Schizosaccharomyces pombe: one gene and its partners. The protein of the gene in region 1 interacts with the protein of each later gene in a biochemical or structural test. Each region holds a gene or a part of one and is shown in the gene's direction. Other genes may lie near its edges. The genes, in order: csn5, cul1 and cul3.

What was found.
Region 2: of the proteins of csn5 (region 1) and cul1, one has a biochemical effect on the other in vitro, tested with the Schizosaccharomyces pombe proteins (one study listed by BioGRID).
Region 3: of the proteins of csn5 (region 1) and cul3, one has a biochemical effect on the other in vitro, tested with the Schizosaccharomyces pombe proteins (one study listed by BioGRID).

Annotation. Positions count from the first base shown.
Region 1 is NC_003424.3:924,394-929,168, reverse strand, and holds csn5 (COP9/signalosome complex protease subunit Csn5), read left to right. Parts: upstream 1-1,542; 5' UTR 1,543-1,597; coding exon 1,598-1,680; intron 1,681-1,722; exon of another isoform or gene 1,723-1,787; coding exon 1,788-2,433; intron 2,434-2,497; coding exon 2,498-2,668; 3' UTR 2,669-2,775; downstream 2,776-4,775. Other genes in the region: SPOM_SPAC1687.23C (uncharacterized protein), read left to right, coding at 1-10; SPOM_SPAC1687.14C (calcium-binding protein), read left to right, coding at 726-956; ubiquinone biosynthesis protein Coq4, read left to right, coding at 2,924-3,047, 3,103-3,207, 3,312-3,666, 3,723-3,957; rRNA methyltransferase Spb1, read right to left, coding at 4,209-4,775.
Region 2 is NC_003424.3:3,609,826-3,616,408, forward strand, and holds cul1 (cullin 1), read left to right. Parts: upstream 1-2,231; 5' UTR 2,232-2,298; coding exon 2,299-2,366; intron 2,367-2,411; coding exon 2,412-2,498; intron 2,499-2,596; coding exon 2,597-2,661; intron 2,662-2,772; coding exon 2,773-2,849; exon of another isoform or gene 2,850-3,051; coding exon 3,052-5,058; downstream 5,059-6,583. Other genes in the region: protein slt1, read left to right, coding at 5,801-6,583. UniProt on the Schizosaccharomyces pombe protein: Core component of multiple cullin-RING-based SCF (SKP1-CUL1-F-box protein) E3 ubiquitin-protein ligase complexes, which mediate the ubiquitination of target proteins.
Region 3 is NC_003424.3:484,770-491,309, reverse strand, and holds cul3 (cullin 3), read left to right. Parts: upstream 1-2,595; 5' UTR 2,596-2,694; coding exon 2,695-2,736; intron 2,737-2,792; coding exon 2,793-4,177; intron 4,178-4,216; coding exon 4,217-4,326; exon of another isoform or gene 4,327-4,378; coding exon 4,379-4,443; exon of another isoform or gene 4,444-4,487; coding exon 4,488-4,661; exon of another isoform or gene 4,662-4,712; coding exon 4,713-5,122; exon of another isoform or gene 5,123-5,178; coding exon 5,179-5,350; 3' UTR 5,351-5,587; downstream 5,588-6,540. Other genes in the region: gup1 (MBOAT family O-acyltransferase), read right to left, coding at 1-124, 161-331, 379-498, 539-972, 1,048-1,294; TIM23 translocase complex subunit Tim15, read right to left, coding at 1,960-2,236, 2,281-2,531; hxk1 (hexokinase 1), read left to right, coding at 6,409-6,540. UniProt on the Schizosaccharomyces pombe protein: Probable core component of multiple cullin-RING-based BC3B (BTB-CUL3-BTB) E3 ubiquitin-protein ligase complexes which mediate the ubiquitination and subsequent proteasomal degradation of target proteins.

The DNA of each region.
Region 1 (4,775 bases):
TAAAAAATGAATGTGTATAAATAATGTCAAACATTCATATATAATATATAACACGAGTATTAGTATGCCACACCGCTAAAGGAGATTATGCTTGATAGCCTACATCATTAAAGCCATTTTGCAAGTCGATCTATTAACTCATCAAAAATCTTGTATTACGTGTTTTGTTATTTAAATATTGCGCACAACCTTAGCTTCGGTCAATTTATTATATTAGCTAATAACGCCTTAGTAGGTTGGCTTGGCACGTAAATAAAGTCAATTGAACACATTTTATACATAAATTTTGAGATTTCCAACTGTCTCTTCAATATCCTTGTTGATTTGGCAGTTTTAGAAAAAAAAATTCAGCTTAACGTTTTTATACCATATATTCATTAAGGTCAAGTTTCGTCCACTTTATCGCACCACGAAATTTCCATTTGTACCACCTTCAAATTGCATCAAATAGCCTGATTACTTAGTATTTAAACGCAGTTATTCCACTTTTGATTGTCTATCTGTTCATATTATTCCTCCTTGTCTTTTCGTTTGGATTTTTAACTCACTTCTAGTCTTTTTTTGATAACTGTTGAACAAATTATATCTCTTCTAGCCATCGGACGCTGATTTTCATTCCTTTCTTTTTTTTTACTGTTATTTCGTTCATTTTAGCATTTTTGGCACTATCTCATTTGTTTGCATTTGCGTTTCCTTGTTGAATAGTTTTTTAGTTTAGGGGAACCATGTCTGTCAGTACTAAACGTCTTGAAATGGATGAAGAAGCAGAAGAGGCTTTTGATCTTTTTGACGTGACACACAAAGGGTACATTGACTTTGAAGACCTTCGAAGATCTTGCGCTCAACTAGGGGAAAATTTGACTAAAGAACAGCTTCAGTTGATGCTCGATTTAGCTGGCACTAATGGTAAAGTATCGCGTGAAGAATTTGCCGAATTGTGGATTCATATATCTTGAGATTGTTTATCAATGGAGACAAACTTCATTTTATTTATGGGATTCATTCTCGCACTTTAATGACTTAATGATGATGGACTTAGTGTACTAAAAAAGATTAAACAATATTTCCTCGTGTTTTCTTTTTGTTTTCAAGCCATAGATGCCTGTTTTATATACTTGGTTGTAGGTTACAATTGATGCTAAAGATAAGTGTCACAGCCTGCTTGAACAACAATACTAGAATCTACATTCTTTCGTAAACCTTGATTTATTGATTTTTAGCATCTTCGTGTGTCTCTTTCATGATATATGTTACAAGGGATTGGCGATTGTGTAAATTCAGTGAATAGGATTTCAATGAACTAATACTATATTGTCTGTTTTCATTCATAGTAAAACAAGTTCTCAAAGATACCAGTTACCAAGCAAAATATATTGTCTTTTCGAAATTCAATAAACATACATTTTACAGGCTAGAATTCATGTTTTAAAATGCTTTTAATCAACTAATATGCTTAAGTAAATAAACGAAATTTTTATCTAAAAATATGTCTTTATAGCGAGTTTTACTTGTACTCGAAAAGTTCTCCAACATTTTTTCGTCACATACCACAAATGATTCATTTTCTGTATTTAATGACTACAATTACAAAATTGCAATGAATAATCAACTCGAAAATGTTTTTAGATTTGATGAAGAAAAAGAGAGGGCTAAAATTCGTGAATCGCCGTGGAAACATGAGTAAGTTAAGATTTCATTGGTTTTTAGCTATATTATACCAGTCTCTGAATTTTTTTCCCTACGTTAATTTATTAAAATTATAAATCCTGTAATGCTAACAATAACAGCCCAGAGTTTTTCCGTTCTGTCAAAATCTCAGCAGTAGCTTTGTTGAAAATGTTACGGCATGTATCTCAAGGCATGCCATTAGAGGTAATGGGCTATGTTCAGGGGAAGGTTGAAGGGGCCTCCTTGATTATTTTAGATTCTTTTGCGTTACCAGTTGAAGGTACTGAGACTCGTGTCAATGCACATGAAGAAGCACAAGAATACAGTGTACAATATCATACTCTTTGCAAGTCTGTTTACAGACATGAAAATGTCATAGGATGGTACCATTCACATCCTAACTATGGTTGCTGGCTTTCAGGTGTAGATGTTGAAACTCAGCGCCAAAATCAAAAATATCAGGATCCATTTGTTGCCGTTGTGTTGGACCCGAAGCGATCCTTGGAATCTCCATATGTAAACATTGGAGCATTTCGAACCTATCCTGTCGGTAATGATGGCTCTATCCGCACAAAATCTCGTCATCACCCGTCTGTCTTATTTAAAAATTTACCTTCTTCCAAAATCGAAGATGCCGGAGCCCACGCAGAAGCGTACTACAGTCTCCCTATAACTTACTTTCATTCCAAAGCTGAAAAAAAGGTTACGGAGTTTTTAAGGAATAGAAACTGGTCTAGGTCAATCACCGAGTGTTCTATTTTACAAGTAAGATTCATATTCTAATAAAGTTTCTTAACGAGTCTGCAAGTTTTTCTAACAAGCAATATAGAACAATGAATTTTTACATGACAGCGAAAAATTAATCGATCATCTTATTCATGAAACAGGGAATAATGAATTACCTGTTGCATCTGCCTACGAACAATCCAAAGCTTGTTGTAACGAATTATCTACTTTTCTGTCTCAAATTGATGTCCAAGATAAATTATTTAAAGAATGAATAAATCAACGATTCACTAATATCAGGAAACATGAGATATATAAACGTCGAATCTACTAAGTAATACAGTACAGTTTATTAATGAAAGTCATATTAATATATTTCAGTTAGTTTTTTTTTTATTACCCGTAATCTTTTTTTTTTTATTGAGTAAACATATTCGACTTTTGTAACGCCAAATTCGTAAATCTATTATATCGATGACACACCACTTTAAAAAGTATCAGCAATACTGAACTTCACATATCAGTATGTATGTTTTATCTTAATGCTCATCTTGAAATTAATAAGGTCGTAGACGTTGTAATGTCACTTTCAAAGAAGTTTTTAAAGCCTTCAGTTGCTTCCAACCAACTTCGTTTGCTTTTTACAGCAGCTGGTAAGAAATGTTTAGCTCAGCTAATGCATAAATGAGATTTTACTAAAGAAATTAGAGAGGAAGGTTAATTATCCAGGACATGTTCCTTTATCACCGCTGCAACGTATTTTTTTGGTTGCAGGATCAGCAATCATGGGATTGAAGGCACCATGGAGAGGCGGTATGAAATTTAGGTAGTAAAAACACTTCGGCAAATTCTTTTGACCTTTGCTACAGAAGTTGGTGAAAAGCTATATTTACTTTTTCTGGATTTACTAATGCTAGGAGATATGATATCTGTCCTAGGAGATGCATCTGGTCAACCATTCTTCCTTCATCGATTACTGAATAAAATGCTCGTTGATAAAACAGGTCGTGAAATTTTGAAAGATAAACCTAGAATGACATCGAAGTCTTTAAACTTACCATTTTTGCGGACCCTTCCGCCAAATACCCTAGGTAAAATTTATGTTGACTGGATAGACAAAGAGCATGTTGGACCCGATACTCGAAGCCCTACCCGTTTTGTAGATGACCCAGAGGAGGCATATGTTATGCAAAGATATCGTGAATCTCACGATTTTTACCATGCTATATGTAACATGCCTACAAACATTGAAGGAGAATTAGCTATTAAATGGTATAGATATACTTTACTTTATTTCTAACTTCATGGTTTGTATACTAACAATTTAGGCTGGAATTTGTTAACATGGGTTTACCAGTTGGAGCTCTCTCTGCTTTATTTGGTCCTCTACGCTTAAATTGTGAACAGGCTTCAAGGTTTCGTCGGGTATACATTCCATGGTCGATTCGTAATGGTTTGAATGCAAAAACATTGATCAATGTCTATTGGGAAAAGGAACTGACGAACGACATTGAGGACGTCCGTAGACGAATACGAATTGAGGCTGCTCCTCCGCTGGTTTAGACCTGTAATTCAAATTTCTTCCATTTACTCAATCGAAATATTCGAAAAGAACTGCATATAAATAGTTAATTAATAATGTTTATATATGTAGCAGTTTAACTCTTGCAAAACATATCCATGCTGTTACTCCCAAATCTAATACTAAATAAGAATACTATTAATCCACTAAAACCCAAACTCTAACCTAGATATAATTATTTTAAGCCTAAATTCCACGAAAAACTGTTAATGAAATTAAACAGTCAAGTATTTTAACGACGACCCTTTTTAGCTAGTCTTTTTTGTGCGCGCAAATCCTTTTTCATTCGACTGTCAACCATTTTATACTTTCCTTTAACACCCTTAGGACGAGATTTAAGGCCTTTATTAGGACCCTTTGCAACAACTAACGTAGGCTTTGCTTTAGGCTTCGATTTAGTAGCACGGCTTACGAGTCGCGATATTTCTTTAGCTTTTTCACTTTCAGTCATATCACCGCTTTCTGAAATTCCTTCAGCTTTTTTAGCGACACGTTGCAGACGCTTAATAGTACGCATCTTTTTACGACCTTGTGCCTCAAGAACTTTTTTGATAGGACGAGCATTAAGAGCCTTCATTTTTTCCCGCAAAGCCAAAACGGCTTCTTTGGTGATTGGCTTGTTGGGTTTATTGACGGTTGTTTCTTCATCCAAAAACCAATCTGGAAGACCTTCTTTAGATTGAAACGACCATCGATTATAACCTTCATCAATCAAATCAGCCTTAGACTTTCTCCTAGAAGCAATATCCTGAGCTAGTGTCATTGCCTCGGCAGTAACAATTTCAACGTTGTTTTCATC
Region 2 (6,583 bases), 2.7 Mb from region 1:
TAGACACGTAACCACAAAAAGTCTTCGCTGAGTTGTGACAGCAAATAGTCTTCAAAATACTTCCAGCAAGTAAAAAAAAAAAAAAAACGTTAAACAAAAAACAAAAAGAATCTAAAGGAAAAAGATGATGAGCCTCAATCTCGAGAACGAAAGCTAATTCACTTGAAAATTTTCCTTTTTCTTGTAAAGTGCTCGAAAGCACTTTTCGCGTAAACGCACAAAGTATTTAAAAAATAAATACAAAAGAATGAATACTTGTAGCGATTTTGGAACGCTGGTGTACCTCACCAAGGTGGAAATACGGAAAGGTAGTATATAGGACTAGGCAAACTCCAAATGGTTGTTTGCGGACAATAGCGAGGCAAAGTCGGCGGAAGTTTAAAAAGACTTGAATGAAAGAACAACTAGGTATTCTTTTTACAGATTAATAAAAGGAACAGGATTTTAAAATGGATAGTTAACCTTCCAAGTGTTGAAAAAAAAATTAAAAACAAAAGCCAAATTAATGACTTAAAAGTCCAAGTAACTTTTTTGAAATAAAGTTTGGTCAGTTCATAAAACAAGTATTTTCTTTTTTTTTTTTTTTTTTTGAGAAAAAAGAGGATTTGTTTACAGAAAAAAACAGGAAAGCAGAAAGACAGCGGTTTGAATAGCACAAGCTGAACTAGCTTATTTATAACGAAATTTTAAGTAAATACTGGAGACAAAGGTTAGTTATCCTCCCCCAATAAGATAACTGAGAAAAAGTCGATTAAGATAAAATTATGGAGAGAGAAATCAAAAGAAAGAAGAAAGGCCTAAAATAATAAGAAGATTGTATAATGACTATGGATTACTACTTTAAAATATATCTCTTAATATCACAGTATATAAACACTCTTGACTATTAGTGTGGAAATTGATGATGGATTGCAAAGAAAAGATGAGCGGATAGTTTCTAGAAAAAATTTTGGAATTCAAAAGACGAAGCAGTGATGTAAATAGCTTTTTTGCAGAGTTTCTTATGTTGAAATTGAATAATTACATAGAAACTTGAAGGTTCAAGGTTCATAAAAACGGAGAAAATGGGATATAATAGCAAATAAAAGAGAGAAACAGATATTATGTTTGTTTTTTAGAAAGAATCTCAACAAATTACAGATATTTTGATTGTATTGGAATACTAAACAAAAAAATATGTAAGTAAATAGTCAAGTGAGCAAAGTAGAACAATGCTGGCCACGCGTTAAAGGGGGAAAGGTGGTTAGCGAAGAATGGAATGTTTTCAACTCATTATTGCCATTCTACGAATATAAAAACACCTAAATTGTAAAAAAAAATAAAAAAAATAAAGCAAGCAAGTTTAAGTGATAAAGGAGGAAGCTAATTAGTTATGAAATTGAGAATAATTTTTGGTCTTATTCAGAATTAATAATAATTCGTCTGTTCCTAAGTGAATATAGAAAGCAGACTCCAAACGTGCGTATCCAAGCGCATTCTATTACTTTTATTTTAGTAGGTAAATGATAAAAAGTTCAATTTGAGGCCGCTTTTGATGCATCAACATTTTGCGACAATTTTACTTAGGAATTGGCTACCGTTAACGGCACTCAGAATTGTTTGAGGATGAGGCTCTGATGGTAAACAATAGATGGCGGTGCTCAAAAGATGGTATGAAGAGGTAATTTGTAGCGCGTTTGAGAAAGAGAAGGAAAAGTATTTCTGTTTTACAACATCTATGAAAGAGCATCCTGTTATGTTGGCCACATTGAAAATGTCAACCTATTTGAGGTCCAAATTAAACCCTTTTCAACATTTGTAAATATTTCATGGGTTTGAGATTTTCATTTAGTACAATATTACTATACACTTGTCAGAGATATCTTTTACACCATATGTGTATTTGCATCGAGCACTCAATATCCAGCGGATCGCATACATCATTCTTTTGGCAGAACAATAACTCAAATTTAAAGGATTTCTTTGGCATATTCATGTATATGTTGATAAATATTGGCTTTATGTCTTTGTTTTCATAATAATAAATGCGTTAATGAAGAATTTTTTAATATAATAATTATTTACTTAAAAAAAAATTAGATATTAAATATAATCTTATAAAGCACTTTTATAATGAGCTTTTGCTACGTACACCTGGCTACCTCTTGTACCTTCGTTCACTTCGTCGTTACCTGTAGGTTCTTGAAAGGATCAGTGCTACTATTTACTACGTTTACTCTATCTGCCATCTAAGAAAGAGCAATTGTGTGCTGAATAAAATATATTTTACTTGTTATACATTTATAACCATTTTGGTTAATGACTACTTTGAATACCAACGATAAAGACCTCCCGATTGTTAAAAAATATGATTCATTGAATGGAACGTATGTTACATTGTAACTGATTGACGATTGCTGATCTATATGCAGTTGGGACTTTTTAAAAACAGGTGTGTCCCAAATATTTGAAAGGCTAGATGAAGGAATGACTATCACTAAGTATATGGAGCTTTATACGTAAGTTAGTCCAATATTTTGAGATCTGAATACTAGTATATTAGTTATCAGATATTTCATGGCACCTATATTTATATACTTACATACTTTATTTTTAGAGCAATCCATAACTACTGTGCTGATGCGTCCAAAACTATAACGGTGGACAATTTCAACGATCAAAGTACGTAAAAAATAGATAAAAATTTATATTTTGACTCAGAATTTGTCAAAAAGAAGAACTACATATATTTTCTTATGATTATTTTCACTGGATTCTAACTGTATGTGCTAGCTGCAAACGTTTTAGGCGAAGCCCTTTACAATAATTTGGTTCTATATCTGGAAGAGTATTTGGCCCGTCTGCGAAAGGTGAGTTTAAATATCGGTTTTTTATTTATAATTCTACGACAAAGATTTCATTGCACCTCGAGTGTTCAGCAGTTTTCTTTAATTTCTAAACATTTTCTCTGGACATTTTAAAGAGTGCTAGCATAAGCATCTGGTCTTTTATTATGATTAAGGAATAAATTGCATTATGTGGTAATTTTTCTCGTGCTAATTGGCGCTTTAGGAATGCATTTCGCAAACGAATCATGAAGAGCAACTCGCTGCGTATGCCAAGTATTGGACGCGATTTACAACATCTGCCCGTTTTATCAACCATCTTTTTGGATATTTAAATAGATATTGGGTTAAACTGAAGAACAGATTTACTGAGACACTCGTGTACGACATTTACACACTTTGTCTTGTGTCATGGCATCATCACGTTTTTTCCCACATTCGCGATAGCCTACTTCAAAATTTGTTATACATGTTCACCAAAAAAAGATTATATGAACCTACTGATATGAAATATGTGGAAGTTTGTGTGGATTCTATCACTTCATTGAGCTTTGATAAAACCGATATGACAAAGCCTAACTTGAGCTCATACAAAACTTTTTTCGAAACAAACTTTATTGAAAATACAAAAAACTTTTATGCAAAGGAGTCTTCCGAATACTTGGCTTCCCATTCTATTACGGATTACTTAAAAAAGGCAGAAATAAGACTAGCAGAGGAGGAAGAGCTTGTGAGATTATATTTGCATGAATCCACATTGAAGCCGCTTTTAGAAGCGACTGAAGATGTACTAATTGCACAACATGAAGAAGTTTTGCACAACGACTTTGCACGCATGCTCGACCAAAACTGCAGTGAGGATATCATTCGCATGTACCGATTGATGTCTCGAACACCTAATGGGTTGCAGCCTTTACGCCAGACATTTGAGGAGTTTGTCAAGAGATCAGGCTTTGCTGCGGTTGCCAAAATTGTTCCCCAGGTCGGTGGAGAAGCCGATGTGGATCCTAAAGAGTATATGGAAATGTTACTTTCCACGTATAAAGCTTCCAAAGAACTTGTTAACACCGCATTTCATGGGGATACTGATTTTACAAAGTCATTGGATACAGCCTTTAGAGAACTTGTCAATCGAAATGTTGTTTGCCAGCGCTCTTCCTCTCGCTCCCCAGAGTTGCTTGCTAAATACGCCGACAGTATTTTGCGAAAAAGCAACAAGAATGTTGACATTGATGATGTTGAAGACTGTTTATCGTCGATTATCATTATTTTTCGTTATGTCGAAGACAAGGATGTTTTTCAAAACTTTTATACTAAGCTTTTAGCCAAGCGACTTGTGAATGGTACCTCTAATTCCCAGGATGCTGAATCTAGCATGCTATCTAAGTTAAAGGAAGTCTGCGGTTTTGAATATACTAGTAAGCTACAGCGTATGTTTCAAGACATCTCCTTGTCTCAAGAGATTACCGAAGCGTTTTGGCAACTCCCTCAGTCACGTGCTGGAAATATAGATTTCTCTGCTCTTGTACTTGGTACATCGTTTTGGCCTCTATCTCCCAACAATGTGAACTTTCATCTGCCAGAGGAATTAGTTCCTTTGTATGAAGGATTCCAAAACTATTACTATAGCTGCCATAACGGAAGGAAGTTAAGCTGGTTGTTCCATCTCTCTAAAGGAGAAATAAAGGCACGCATTAACCCTCAAACTAATGTCACTTATGTGTTTCAAGTTTCTACATATCAAATGGGTGTTTTGCTTTTGTACAACCATCGCGATTCTTATACATATGAGGAGCTGGCAAAAATAACTGGGTTAAGTACAGATTTCTTGACAGGGATTCTGAACATATTCCTAAAAGCAAAGGTGCTTCTCCTTGGCGACAATGACAAGCTTGGTGATCCTAATAGCACATATAAGATCAATGAAAATTTTAGGATGAAAAAGATACGGGTACAGTTAAATCTCCCAATTAGATCTGAGCAAAAGCAGGAATCTCTGGAGACTCATAAAACTATAGAAGAAGATCGAAAGTTACTGCTTCAATCCGCTATCGTCCGTATCATGAAGGCTCGCCGAACATTGAAACATGTAGTGTTAGTGAAAGAGACTATTGATCAAATTAAAAGCAGATTTACTCCTAAAGTGTCTGATATTAAGCAATGTATAGATATGTTAATCGAAAAAGAGTACCTGGAACGCCAAGGCCGCGATGAATACATTTACCTTGCTTGAGAGAAACATCTCCGCGAAATGCTCCAAAAAAAATGATATACTTTTCGAGTGTTATATATGTAATTAATCACGCAATACGAATTTTCTTTTTTCTTTTGTTTACATTCTTGTCTGCTAGTGATCTTTAATCCATTGAAACTAAGCTTTTAATAACGTAGGAAAGTCACCACTCCATTGAAGAAATGTGTAGCTTAGCTACATGCAAGCTATGCAACTTTTTTTTACTACTAGTTACTGGATAGCAACAACAAACTTCTATTATCCCATCATTTTACGTGGATAAGTCGTACAATGAAAAAGAAAAGAAAACAGTTATCGACCACATACATGCACCATTTCACGAAGTACAGATGCTTGAAATTGTGAAAGGATGTCAAAGATATGTTTTATATAATACATTTATTGTCAATTGTCGTCTTCGTCTTCCTCTGCAAATCGCTTGATTCTGTTAAAAAAGACATATATTGATTATTCAGCACGAAGAACGAAATGGTGCTTACAAATTAAAAAAAATTAATTGATCAGACTAATTAAGGCAATTTTAACGTTTTTATTGATTTACTACTTCCAGGTGTTGCTGGAGTGTTCATGGATGAAATGGATGATTCCGGTACATTCCGGTGCCAACACCATAGTATGACATAAATGAGTAAACATCGCGGTTCGCTCATTCTTCTTCAACACACCATCTTCCTTGACATATCGTTCTGAAAAAAAATACTAGGAAGAGAATCGTAGCATAATGGCGACTTTATTTCATCTTATAGATGTACATGGTAATGAATATCAAAATGTGCAAGACCACAGCCTTCAAATGGCCTTAGAAGAGCTGAATCAACAAATCGAAGTGATTCAACGCCAAGAAGAACAATTGGCTTTGCGAAAGAAGGCAATTGAGGATGCAAGGCAAGAAGTGCTCCAGCAAATTCAACATCGAAAATTCCGTCAATACTTGCATGAACGGGAACAAGAGGCTCGTTTGCAAGAGTATTATTTGGAGCAACTGCAAGAGCGTAGAGCTTTTGAAAATGTTGTACGGACTATAATCAGAAAGCGATTTGAGGATGAGGAGCGTGAAAGAGCTCATCGCAGGGAAAAGGCGGCTCGAAAGTTGCTACGCAGAATACTTGTCTCCGATTCACCCAATATGCAGCTTGTAGTGCCAAATAATTTCCAGCAAATGTTTATTCATCATCCAGTCGTAGACACAATATATTCTCCTGAAGAGTCTTCGGAATCCCAAGCTGAAGTCGCTGACCAACAAACTGGCCCATACTCTACATCAGAGTACGCAGGTGCTCAACAATCTCAACCATTTCGCATATTTATTCAAAACGACAATGCACCTGAACAACAAAGTGGCCCAGACGTTGCTGAGCTTAATACGCTACCAAATAGAAGCAAAACGTCTTCTCAAGCTAGTGTTTCTGATGAGGAGCTTTCTCGCACCGAGTTGGCCGAATTGAACGATTATTTATTGGCTGCTCAACGCCGCTCTAACAAACGTGGAAATGCTAGAAAACAT
Region 3 (6,540 bases), 440 kb from region 1:
CCTTAGAAATAGCAGTAACGTATGCATAGTGAAGTAAAAACTCCATGGTGAGAACACATACTAAAAATCGAATTGCATAAAGAAGGTTCCTGTATTTTAGCGTTGAAACTGTGGGATATTTCATCTAAATATTAGCAGAAAATTTAATTAAACAATTTACCTGGGACATAAAATTGTTGAACGAAATGATAGGGCCCGCTAAATATAAAGGGGCATAAAAAATGTATGTCAAAAAATTCTTAAGATTATAATCTTCATCAAGACAAGAATAATCAACCCTTTCACGAAACGTCAATGTTGTTGGCTCACGATCTTTGTCAAATATTAGAGTCTAATGGTTATTATTTATAAACTCAAAAGGCATGTGCTCAAACTTACGTTAAGTTTTTCAGAGTTGTGCTTTAAGGACCAGTAATAATCCATATTAAATGACACGAGCCGAAGCATGGTAATGTTAAAAAGAACATACCAGCGCTCAAGAATCCCAGTATATTGATCCTGTAAAAAGATTAACATCTGATGGCTAAAGATAGCGTACCAAAAACCCTAGGCCTGGATGAAGGCTAGAAAATTTGCAATAGGCAAAATATTCTTTAAAAAACACCACTGATATATCTAATGTCCATGTCAAGAGTGGATTAAAAATACTGTTCTTTAGAGACTTAGAAATGAGATAATTGATCAATGCAATTGTTAAAACATATATAACGCCAGTCCCGTAGACAAGTAATGCAAACAGCAGGGAGAAGCAAAGTCGATAGTTGTTTTTTATAGCGAGTTCATCATTAGTATTTTTTGTGAAGACAAGCTTAACGAGTCTCCAGAGAAAATTATAGACAATAATTACAAGTAGTAAGATTGGCATATTTTCACGAAACGCGGAATACTGAAAATCAGCGGAATCGACTTTTTGTCCAAACAACCACCCAGGCTTTAAATATTTTTCAATGTTTTTGTAATTGGGATGTTTTGCTGACGCCTAGTTAGTTGCTTACTTTATTTCAAATTGATAAATAGAAAAGGCTGATTAAAGCTTTTGACACTTACGAGAACTAACATAATGAATTTTAAAACAAGCAATTGTTAGAATCGATAGAATGACAGAAAAGTAAAAAATAAATTCTATGGAACCAAAAGCGCTCTTTTCCGGAACTGCGCTTCGAACGGTCAAACGTGAAGATGAAGATGGATGACTTGAACCAGAAGTCGAACTTAACCGTGAACTTTTAGAATTGGGTCTTTCAGTATCTTTGGTCGAAGTCTCAAGAACATCAAATCGAAATAAACGTAACATCCTAGAAGTCTCCTACCAACAGCAAAGAAGATGGTCGGTTCTCAAAATATCATAGAGTAAACAAACCTAGTGGTGTTCACTAGCAAAATGCAAGACACTGCGTAATTTACACTTTGTGTCAGCTTCATAGTCCGTAAATAATTTTAAGAGTAAGGTAGAGAGAGTATGATGAAATCAATTATATTTTTAAAAATAATAAATTCAGTTTGTATTGTTTATTGGAATGAATAAAATAGTCAGCACTATACAAAACGCGCTATTAAAATAGAAATATTAATTAAGCATCTTTAAAGACTAAATTTTGATTTTGGTAAATTAGCAACTTATATATTGAAAAATGTTTTACATTCGTTTGCAATAATTCTGTATAGCCCATTTAGATCTCTAAAATCGTTAATTTTTATAATTAATTAATTAATTTATTTTTTTTTGGATATGATTTGCTCAATGATTGCTAAATTATCACATCTAGTCTAAAAATTCAAAAGATAATTTCAAGTTAACAAGCTCATATAATAATTAAATGTTCTATTAGAACGTCGTATATATTGACCAAAGTATTACAAAAATAAATAAAAATAATATATACTATAGAAATTAAAATAAACAATGACTATATCTTGCAATTTATATGCTCCTAAACCCAATTTGATCGCTCTCCTAGTTCATTTGGAAGAATTGGAAGAAGATGATTTTGCTGGTCGAATTTTAAATTGAGGGGGCTTAAATTCTACAACATTGCCATTGATTACTTGACCATAGCCTTTTTTAAAAGTTTCCCCTTTCTTAGCTAAAATGTCTTCAATCGTCACCCGTTCTTCAGAGAATATTTTTAAATGATCAGCCATCAAGTGCCGATTTTTGCACTTAGGACATTGAACTAAAACGGTCCCATTATGGTAGGCCTGCTTGGAGAAATTGTGATTTGACCTAGTGTTACATCTTTCATTTGGTTAGTATCCTTCAATGAAATTATAAATACTTACACGGTACAAGTAAAAGAAACATTATAAGTCGGTTTAGGTTGTAATTGATCAGCATCTGATTTTACAGAGGGAACACCACTTGCAAGATCTTTAGCATCGCTTTGAGTGAAGCGTTTGCATTGCCAATTAGAAATGTTTCTCACATTCGGGGAACAGAAAAGTAAACTTGAAACCTTTACCTTGTTTGAAAAATTTTTTAACTGCAAATTTCGTAAACAGAATTTTTGAGTATACCGTGCAAAGCTCCACATTATGTTTGAAAAATTTTTGTGTTCGGAGAATGTTGTTCGTAGTTAGTACCTTCTACCACCTTTTGTACCATTACTTCCGTCTGTGCTGGCGTTTCTTTATGCAAACTCATATGCCCATATATTTAGCTTTTTTGTTGAAACTTAACTTTAAATTCCATTATTAATGCAGCGGTCAGCGAAGTTAAAAATTCGAGCGCCACGAAAAGTAAGTGTACCTGATGCATGCTGTCCTTATTATTTTCCTCACATACTGACATTTAGTTTTCTGCTAACCAAGTAGACTTTGCTACACATTGGGAAGTCTTGCAGCGAGCTATTGGGGATATATTTCAGAAAAGCACATCTCAATTATCGTTTGAAGAGTTGTATAGAAATGCATATATACTTGTTCTACATAAGTATGGAGAAAAGCTTTATAATCATGTACAGGATGTTATTAGATCGAGGCTTAAAGAAGAAACTGTTCCAGCTATTTACAAAAACTATGACGCTTCCTTATTAGGGAATGCTCTATTGGATATTAGAAAAAATGATTCCTATTCTACTTCATGGTCGAGATCATTGGAAGCGGCTCATAGATTTTTATCGTCTTTAGTTAATTCCTGGAAGGATCACATTGTTTCAATGCAAATGATATCTAGTGTATTAAAATATTTGGACAAGGTTTATTCAAAATCTGCAGACAAAGTTCCTGTTAATGAAAACGGAATATATATCTTTCGTGAAGTTGTTTTGTTAAATAGTTTTGAAATTGGAGAGAAATGTGTCGAAACTATTCTAATTCTGGTTTATCTTGAACGTAAAGGGAATACAATAAATCGACCCTTAATAAATGACTGCTTAGATATGCTAAACTCTTTGCCTTCAGAAAACAAAAAGGAAACTCTTTATGATGTTTTATTTGCTCCAAAGTTTTTATCTTACACAAGAAATTTCTATGAAATAGAATCATCAACAGTCATCGGCGTATTTGGAGTTGTGGAGTATCTGAAAAAAGCAGAGAAAAGATTTGAGGAAGAAAAGGAGAGGTCCAAGAATTACCTGTTCACAAAAATAGCTAGCCCCCTTCTATCCGTTGTTGAAGATGAGCTTTTGAGTAAACATTTGGACGATTTGCTTGAAAATCAATCAACTGGCTTTTTCTCGATGATCGACTCTTCAAACTTCGAGGGTCTTCAATTGGTTTACGAAAGCTTTTCTAGAGTGGAACTTGGCGTGAAGTCTTTAAAAAAATACTTGGCGAAATATGTAGCGCATCATGGAAAATTAATCAATGAAACTACTAGCCAAGCGCTTGAAGGAAAGATGGCTGTTGGTCGTCTATCATCTAATGCTACAATGGCAACATTATGGGTTCAAAAAGTTTTGGCCTTATGGGATAGACTAAATACAATTATAAGTACTACTATGGATGCTGATCGGTCTATCTTGAACTCTTTATCAGATGCTTTTGTTACGTTCGTAGACGGATATACCCGAGCCCCCGAGTACATTTCACTATTCATTGATGACAATCTGAAAAAAGATGCTAGAAAAGCAATAGAAGGCTCTATTGAAGCAACACTTCAAAATTCTGTTACGTTATTTCGGTTTATTTCAGAAAAAGATGTTTTTGAAAAATATTACAAAACACACCTTGCAAAAAGGTATGCTTTAATTGTTTTTACTGTCTTTAACACTTTTAGGTTGTTGAATAATCGATCAATATCTTCCGATGCAGAGCTCGGAATGATCAGTAGGCTGAAACAAGAAGCTGGTAATGTTTTTACTCAAAAGCTCGAAGGAATGTTTAATGGTAAGTATTCAGACTTTAGCAAGTTTTTTTGCGTTCCCTTATTAATGCTTAGATATGAATCTTTCACAAGAATTGTTACAGGAGTACAAACATAATTCTGCGTTACAGTCGGCCAAGGTTAGTGGAAATTTTTATTGATAATCCTTTATACTAACAGTTAGCCTGCTTTGGACTTAAACGTTTCAATTTTGGCTTCTACATTTTGGCCCATCGATTTATCGCCTCACAAAATTAAATGTAACTTTCCGAAAGTTCTCCTGGCTCAGATAGATCAATTTACGGATTTTTATTTATCGAAACATACGGGGAGAAAATTATTGTGGTATCCTTCTATGGTATAGTAAACTTTTATTTGCTTGTTGCGTCACACTAACAATCCTATTTAGGGAAGTGCTGATGTCCGTGTTAATTTCAAAGACAGAAAATATGACTTGAATGTATCGACTATTGCATCTGTTATTCTATTGCTTTTCCAAGACCTAAAAGAAAATCAGTGTTTAATTTTTGAGGAGATTTTGGAAAAAACCAATATAGAAGTTGGGGATTTGAAGCGCAATCTTCAGTCCCTTGCTTGTGCAAAATACAAGATTTTGCTAAAGGATCCAAAAGGAAGGGAGGTGAATGCAGGTGACAAGTTTTATTTCAATGAGAACTTTGTTTCAAATCTCGCCCGGATTAAAATATCGACAGTTGCTCAGACTCGTGTTGAGGATGATAGTGAGAGAAAACGTACATTAGAGAAGGTAGACGAGTCAAGGAAGCATCAAGCAGATGCCTGTATTGTTAGAGTGATGAAGTATGTCTTTTTCCTTTTTTTTTTTTTTCAAACATTTTTACTAACAGTAAATTAAGGGATCGCAAAGTGTGCGAACACAATCAGCTGATGGCAGAGGTTACAAGACAGTTAAACCCTCGTTTCCACCCTAGTCCGATGATGATTAAGCGACGAATTGAAGCTTTAATAGAGCGGGAGTACCTACAAAGACAAGCCGATAATGGTCGCATTTATGAATATTTAGCATAGCAGCCTTAACTGTTACACGAAATGCAATATTCGTATACGAGAAATCATGTTTAAATGGAAAGATACCAATTTGTTCAAGATGATATCTAGCAAAAGCTTTGTGATTATAATGACACTCATGAATTTTACACCAACTTCCTTTTTATTTTTGAAAAAAAGAAAATTTTAAGTAATGCTATAAGAAGGTTTGAAAACAGGTAGATTATATTCCAAATCAATCAAAATTTGATACATTAATTCTGCGAGCAGATAGTAGAGTAATGAGTTTAAATTACATTGTTCCATATACATTGTACAAAAAGACCAAAACAGAAAAACCCTCAGTTTAAAATAGATTAAGGTATTTGATCAACGATAGATGGGAAGTGTTAACCTAAAAAATTATTATGGGAGGAAGCGAATTCGCCGTAAATACACTATCCTACACAGTATGCTTTTGATGATGACTCTACTAATAACATCGAAAATACCAGAGCAAGTAAAGCTCCTTATAATCTTTAAGGTGTTAATCAAATAATAAAGCTATGTATTTGATTTAGTATTGAAACACCTGGTTGTTTACATTAAGAATATTCTTCTTTCCTAACGGACTACGCTATCCTCTTTAGCAATCTCGGAAGAACCCCTAAAAATATCTACCGTTCAATGCTATTCTGTATATTCTCCGCTTAATTCTATTTGTTTAGGAAATTGTATAAATAACCTCAAATATCTTAACGAACCCCACTTGTTCGCCAATTTCATTTAATTGGTTCCGCGTACCACACTTCCTTTTAACCACCAAACACTTTTAAGTATCCGCAAGGTTGCCAAAGGTTGATTACAATCTCTTACTTTAAGCTAAGATACAAAGCTCTTTTTGATATCCTACTCGTCTTGCAGAGAACCTACATATTCTCTTTTTGTGACTAAACGTGTCTTGAACTCTTTAAAATAAGTGGCCTTTGCTTTTGAAATTTTAAAGATCTTTTTCTTTTCCTACGTAACTCCAAGTGTCAAGGAATTGCCATCTTTTCACTTCTTCCTTTCTTTTGTGTATCACTACTGAAGTTATCAAAATGTCCTTGCACGACGCTTACCATTGGCCTTCTCGTACACCTAGTCGTAAGGGTTCAAATATCAAATTGAACAAAACTTTACAAGATCATTTGGATGAACTGGAAGAACAATTCACCATTCCCACTGAACTT